2 linked regions of the Coturnix japonica genome follow. The protein of the gene in region 1 interacts with the protein of each later gene in a biochemical or structural test. Links are inferred from orthologs where the notes say so. Each region holds a gene or a part of one and is shown on either strand. Other genes may lie near its edges.

Region 1 (3,751 bases):
ATCAGGGATGGGAGCTTAGAGGGGTCCCCTCAGGTCCCTGTGATGTTGTGCCTTGTCCTCCTGGCCCCCCACTCCCCAGGGTCCCCTTTCACTCCCTCCTGTGTTTGCCTTTGTCCCTCATGCCCCCTGTCCCCCCATGCTCCCACAAAGCTCCCCATTCCCCCCCAACACCCCCCAATCTTCTCAATAGCTCCCCAGTACTCCCTTGGGTCCCCCCCATATCCCCTCATAGATCCCCATGCCCTCACTGCCCCCCACATAGCTACATACTATCCCATAGATCCACAGACTCCCTCGGACCCCCATATCCCCCACAGCTCATCATGCCTCTCCCAGACTGTCCCTTAATTCCTCATGCCCCTCTAATCCCCCCTTACACCCCACATATTCCCCCATATACCTTCTACTAATTTGGGTTCCCTTGGACCCCTCCATACCCCCCACAGCCTCCCAGACCCCTCCCGGACACACTCAATACCCACTATGCCCCCTCCCCACCTCCCCATGTACCTTCCCATCCCCTTGGTTCCCTCATACCCCCACATCCCCTGCAGCTCCCCCCAGACCCTCCATAGCCCCCCATGCCCACTTGGGTTGCAGCGTTGCTGTCAGCCATAGGGTCCTTGTGGGGCTGGTTGGAGGGAGGGGGGTGGCACCATGAATGGTCCCATTCAGCCCTCACCCGCCCCACAGCACAGAGGCCCCATTCTGTGGCATGCGGGGGCACTGTGATGCTGAGATGGGGCCTGGAAGGGGGCCCCAATTCTTTTATCCCAATCCCATAACTCCTATGCCAGTCTCAATCCTCATCCCATTTTCATGATGCTGGTTCCAGTCCCATCGTGTTGTGCTGTTACTGTCCCGTTATCCCCATGGCAGTGCTGGTTCCAACCCTTGTTTCATTATCCCGGTGCTGTTCATTATCCCCATTCCCACCCCACCATCCCAGCTGTGGTTCTGGTCTCATCCCATTATTCCCTGTGACCCACTCCCATTCCATTTACCCCAGCGATGGTCCCTATTCCTGTGCCATGACCCCAGTGCTGGTTTCAGTGCTCATCCCACTATCCCAGTGCTGGTGATCCTGTCCCATTACCCCCATTATTCCCACTCAGCCCCATCCCATTATTCCATTCCCAATCCCAGTCCTGTACCGCTGTCCCAGTCCCGGTTCCATTCCCATTGTACCTCTATGTCCCGTTGCTGCCCGTTCCTCCGGCCGCAAGGGGGCGCCACATCCCCGACCCAACGCGTGGGCAGGAAGCCCTCTTCTCAACCCCCACTTGACGAGCGGCCGTTCCATCCAATCCGCACCTCCCTCTCTTCCCTTCTCTCTGTCTCACCCCACTGCGCGACGCTCGCCGCTTCTGATTGGCTCCCGTGCGGCGCGACCCGCGGGGAGAGGGCGGGACGATCAGAGCTCGGAACCAATAGCGAGTCTCCGCTCTGAGGCCGTGCTCGGCGCGGCCCGGAGCCGCCGCCGCCGTTATGGCGCTGCCCCCGCGGCGCTGAGCGCGGCCCGCATCATGGCCGGGGCCATCGCGTCCCGAATGAGCTTCAGCTCGCTCAAACGGAAGCAGCCCAAGACCTTCACGGTGCGCATCGTCACCATGGACGCCGAGATGGAGTTCAGCTGCGAGGTGACGGCTGCGGCCTAAGCTCCGTTGCCCCCCCGGTCCCGGTCCCGGTCCTGCTGCGGGGTCCAGGCCCGGCCGGGGGTCGTAGGGCTCGGCCTGAGCCCGGGGCGGGTTGTCGGGGCTGACACACACGGGGCTGGGCCCGTTGCTCGGCACAACGCGGGGCTGCGGGGGTTGGTCGTGGTGAGCCCTGCCCCGCCGCCCTGTGTCCGTACCGAGCTCAGCTCGGCCTTGTCTGTGCCTCTCAGCTCATCCTCACCGGGGCTGTGTGGCCCCGGGGGCCTCGTTTGTGGCTGTTTGCAGATCACAAAGTGCTCTGGTAGAGTCAGCGAACCATCTCTATCCACGTTAAAGCATCAGCTGTTAAAAAGGAAAACTCAGTGGGTTCAAATCGCAGCTCTGGTCCCTGTGAGCAGGAGGGTGTCTGTCCTTGTGACATCTCACTGCTGAAATGCACTGGGGCACACTGTGCCATTCCCAGGGATTAAGAAGTTACTGTCACTTCCAGCTCCTGGCTGTTACCCTCCTGGCAGGGTTGAGGTCTATGGGCTCTGCTCTCACACTTCTCTAGGCTGCTGACAATGAGGTGATGCGGTGGCAGTAACTCTCCTTTCATACAGTGGCCACTTGTTGTTTCATGTTGGGATTAGGGCATTTATGAAGAGGGCTCCCAGTCAGGTTGGAACACGTACCTTGTGCACCTTCAGCTGCCTGATGGGGTGGCCCCAGCCAAAGACCTCACAGCAGAGACTGCCCAGCCCTTGGGGGAGCTGAGAGAGGCTCATGGGCAGCGTGCTCACACCTCTGAGCTCTCGCTGGAGCATGGGGGAGCTCAGGCTTTGACCTCCAGTGTGAAAGCCTCCCAACAGCAGGGAAGAAAGGATTAGGCTGAGTGGCTGCTGAGGCACATTGCATGAGTCAGTTGTGGCTGTTTGAGCTCCCTGGCTGCGTTGCTGCCTCCTCTGTGCAGTGACAGCTTCAGGGAAGGTTCGTCTGCTTGCTGGCTGTATCCAAAACACATCCACAGAGACCAGTGCCTGCCCCATTACAAACAACTGCCTCACACCTCTGTGCCTTCGGTATCTCAGCCTCGTGCTGTGTGCTTGTGACCCTTCCAGTGATGCTGGGTGTGTGCAGGGTGAGCAGTCTGGGAGGTGCTGTGGGGAGGCTGGTGCTGCTTATGGTCTGGGGTCCTGTTTAGCCCTGCTTGACTGCTGGCTTCTTTGACCAGTGCTGATCACGGTGCCAGTGAACCCATCTGGGTGGAATCCAGCTCTGCTGGAGCAGCCTTGCTATGCAGATTTAATCTCCCTGGCTCTTCTTTAACTTTATTACAGAGCTCTTGAGGCACGGTCTGTGTTTTCCTGAGTGATGCTGCGCAGGACAGAGGTGACATAGAGTGGTGAGGTGTTGTCAGCATGATTCAAGGTCTGATAACAACTGGCTGGGTGTGACACAAGGCACTCAGGCTGTAAATTCCCATCTGGCTCAGGAGGAGCACATGTGAGCCTGTTTCACCCCAGTTCTGCTGCCACCTCTGGTCATGGCAGCTCCCTTTATTCTGAGCCAGCTGATGTGTCTGTAGCTGTGTCAGTGCCACCTTTTTCAGTCTGCACTGTAGGAATTCCTGGCTGGGTACTGCAGGAGATTAAACCTGCTCTGCATCTGTTGACTCTGTGCATAATGTCTCTAAATTGAGTCTAAATCTGAAATAATTCCTAGAAATGAAATCTTAATCTTTCTAATGCTGTGATGAAGCTTAATAATTGCAGCTGGGGCCTCACTTCAAAGACTTGTAATTTGTTCAGGGAAATCTTAAAGACACAAAGTCAACGTCTCCCTTTTTGTGTTAGTTCCATTAGAGCTCTGTGAGAGTGGTGCCTAATTAATTGATAGCATCTTGAGCAAGGACAGACATTTGCATAACTATTGAAATCCCTCTGCTAAGCTGCTGCTGGCTGCCCCATCTTCCTGAGCACCACCACGCAGCTCCTGCACTCGGATTTCTGTGCTTGGAGAGCAGCAGGAGAGAAAAGCTACTGGAAAACACACTGGGTCAATTAACACTGCAGAGTGCCATGCACTGCCTGAGTATCGACTCAGAAGCTTAAATG
Region 2 (3,651 bases), on another chromosome or scaffold:
CATGTTGCTGCATGCAAAGATTAGTGAGCTGGCACTATCATCCTACTTCCCTGACTCTGAGCAGTTGCTCAGTTGCAGATGGATAAATCTGCACACCCTGAGATCAGCTGCAAGAGATTCTCATTTACTTATCAGAAACTCAGGGAAGACTCCTGGGTCCAACTTCTTTAGAGAAAGAAAAACATCATCTAAGATTCCCTTTGATACAATTTCCTTTCTCCAAACAATAGTGCCGAGCCATTCCAGACAAAAGTCATGTTAGTGCAGGCACAGCTCTACAGGATGGCAATCCTGATCTGTATCTCAGCTGGCTGAAGGAGACTTTACACCCTCAGACAGCTGTAACAGCCCAGCTGAAAGCAAGTGCCTGGGAACTCTGAAAACCAGATCTCAAATACTGCTTTTATCAGGTACCAAACCAAGTGGGAATTAAAGCTGAACAATTTTCATGACTGAGCTTGGATATCACAGCTTCCCCAAAAATGATTAAAGCAAGCAGCTGCTGCAAGTGTGTTCCATTCTGCTTGCAGGCAGTTTTCCTGCATGCTAAGCCAGTCAATCTGTCTGTCAGATATCTACTTTCTGCTGTTCCTGCCTCCCCTATAGGCAGAGACTGGTGTATCTTAATCACCACCATTATTTAAAAATTACCTAGGCTGCCTTTCCAGCTCTTGTCCTCCCTCTTCTCTTCCAGGATGGGAGTGCTGCTCAGCGTGGATGAGTGGGACAGCAAGCCCGAGCCAGCATTTGAGATTGACATCAGTGACTTGGCAGGCCTCATGGAGGAGAGCTGGTCCGTCTTACCAGGCTCCTTCCGGGAGCGCTGCTGCAGGACTTTGATCATGGCGTCCTTCTCAATGATCTGAGCGTGCAGAGTCTTGATCCTTTTTGAAAAGGACAAAGGACAACAACATGCTTCAACTTCCATCACTTTGGACTGAGGCCTCAGCACCCCACAGCTGTGACTAGAACTCCCCTGGGCATTCAGGTAGGCATGGAGAGGACACCTCGAATACTGGCTGTTCTCTGACACTACACGGCATAGTGTATGAGGCCTCCTGTACATCTACATACAAAACTTCACTGAGACACCCCCTCACCTTTGGCTACTGGAAGCTGCTCTAAACAGGCAAGGAAGATGCTCTGAAGCAAAGCTGAGAGTTATGGGTGGGACATGAGGCCAAAAAAACAACAACAAAAGAATATTCACAAAGTCTGGGGAGTCTGCAACAAAAAATCCCTGCGATTTCCCCTGGGGAAAAACAACTCTGTGAAACAATAAAGAAGTGACTGGAACTTGGGGTCTGATGAAGACGGCCTGAAAAGAGAGGAATAAGCTAGGCACTAAATTGAAATACAGGTTTTGCATTGCTGTGCAGTTACTTCCTTGGTCAAACAAATGTCTGGCATTCTACATTGTTGTGACTGGTGAAGACACGTGAATTTCTGGTTCTGAGGCATCTACCTGAATAATTCATTTAAAATCCTTGTCCTAAAGTAGTCAAATAGGGACAAACTGCATTTTACCTTCCTTCCATGTCCAGACACCTCCTGTTGGCAAGCAGGATCTCTTCCTCCTCCTTCTGAATGCGAGCTTCCAGCGAGGTGTCATAGCTAGGGTTAGGTGAGTGGCTGATCACTGTTGTGTCCCTGGGAACAAGCAGTAGAGCAGATGAAGGGCAAACTAAGCATGCTGTTTTCCTCCTAGCGGTGCTAATTGATTGCTCAAAAGTAACAAGAACATCTACTGTTTCTGAGCCTAGGCTGGCTCAATGTCTTTTGAAAATCCCACTCCCAGGCGTAATGAAAGAAGGATTATAAAAATATGCAAATAATACTAACAACAGTCAACTTGCTGTCTATCTCAGGCCAGTCTATGATCTAACTGATGCACTGTGCTAACTTAAACAGACGGATGGGGCAAATCCAAGGGAAGAGATGGGAAAAGATAATATAAAATGTTAGTCACTTCTCTTCATCTGAAAAAGTACAAACTTTGCTTCAGAAGCAAGATTTTTTCCCCTTCTCTTCCAAGAAGTGGGTATCTGAGTATCGAAGGGAACTACGCACTAAAGTTTCTTCAGCATTTCTAAGCAACTTGATCCAAAAAACTTAAGAGTGGGCTGAAAACAGTTTAAGATCAATTAGTGCCTGACGTGTACACTGTAATGGTTGTTCATTCCATTAACCAAAACATGTCATCCTACTTGTTGCTGTACAGTCAGAATGAAGATACTGTGCTATGCTTTATACCACTGTATGATTCCTAATGCTTAAGAGCATGTTACTGACATAGCTATGTGTTAACATAGTATTAATTAAAAAAACAGTTGGAGTTACCAATAGCTGCAACTCATTGTAATTAGAAACTTACTCTCTTAGACCCAGCAGCCCTAAGAACTGACTGATAAATGTACATTTAACCCTGCAAAAGTTCAGACCAGGAACAGCAACAAATGAGTCTGAAGGGCATAGGAAGGTCACTCATCAAAGAACCCTAACGTGACCTAGATTCCTGCCTGTGCTGTAAAGCATCCTTCCTGCAACCCCGTCTTCCTAAGGGATGCTATTTTTCACCACCAAAGAGAAAGGAAAGCAAATTTGTGCACAGTGTAGATGAGGTTACCGTTGAAATTAGTGAAATCCCTTACAGCCTGTTTTTGAGAAGGCTATAATAAACTGCATGTAAACTGGCAGCGGTACTGATGGAACAGTTTATTTTAAGGGAGAAGGAGCTAGAAGGAAACGGAAAAGTAGGTTTGCTCTTTCCTGACTGGAAAGCATTCTTTGTTCATTTAACAAAACCCGAACAGGCCTAACACATCCCCTCTCACCCCATGATAAACAATAGACCAGACCTCTATTTATCAGTGCATGCTGAAAATATAACATAGCCTCGAGGGCCAAGCGGTATCAAAAGCCTTTAAACAATCACTGGGGAGGCAGAAAACAGTTCACAAGAAGCATCAATACCCCAAAATAACAGCATGCTTGGGGAGCAAGGTAAGTCTTTAACTGCTAACACAGCAGATCTGCAACTTTGCCCCTGTAATTTCAGTATGATCTTATGTGCTAGGAAGCCAGCTGCGATAACATCCCCATTTGAATCTCGTCTGTGAAACAATCTAAAATAAAATCTGCTGTTAAGAAACTGAAACTAGTGATCAATGAAATTACATGTAAGCACTACCTGAAGTTAAAGAGTTGCTCTCCAATAGCAGTGCTTGTTTACAAGCGAGCTGAAGACTTGGGCCTATTTATAACCATAATAACTGCTTCTATACAGCTGCATTGGAATGTGAGCTTGTTACCCAATTTCAGACACCCTTCCCTTCCCACTCCCACAAGAACTACTCTCCACACACAGCAGAATGTTTTGAGCAGAATTTCCTAGTAGATGCTTCTGGTTAGTAACCATGTGGAGGACAATACCACAAAGTAATTTGCAAAAACATTCTGGAGAACAAGCAAGCCATTCAGGGCGAACGATGTGAATCACCAAACTCACCCCATCCCACATGACTTCAGCAAGGACTGACTCCTGTTTGAAAAGAGAAAAAAAAAAAAGAAAAAAAACAACCCCAACAACGCTCCTCACACATCTATTTTTGAAGCAATAGCTTCTAGGAATGGCTTAGGAGAACTCCAGCC

The links.
Region 2: the proteins of NF2 (region 1) and AMOT form a complex in vitro, tested with the Homo sapiens proteins (2 studies listed by BioGRID and IntAct). The link is inferred for Coturnix japonica from reciprocal best matches to the Homo sapiens genes NF2 and AMOT.

The regions. Positions count from the first base shown.
Region 1 is NC_029530.1:9,911,110-9,914,860, reverse strand, and holds the start of NF2 (merlin), read left to right. Parts: upstream 1-1,436; 5' UTR 1,437-1,526; coding exon 1,527-1,640; intron 1,641-3,751. UniProt on the Homo sapiens protein: Probable regulator of the Hippo/SWH (Sav/Wts/Hpo) signaling pathway, a signaling pathway that plays a pivotal role in tumor suppression by restricting proliferation and promoting apoptosis.
Region 2 is NC_029519.1:12,294,871-12,298,521, reverse strand, and holds part of AMOT (angiomotin), read right to left. Parts: intron 1,651-3,651; coding exon 1,528-1,650; intron 885-1,527; coding exon 652-884; intron 1-651.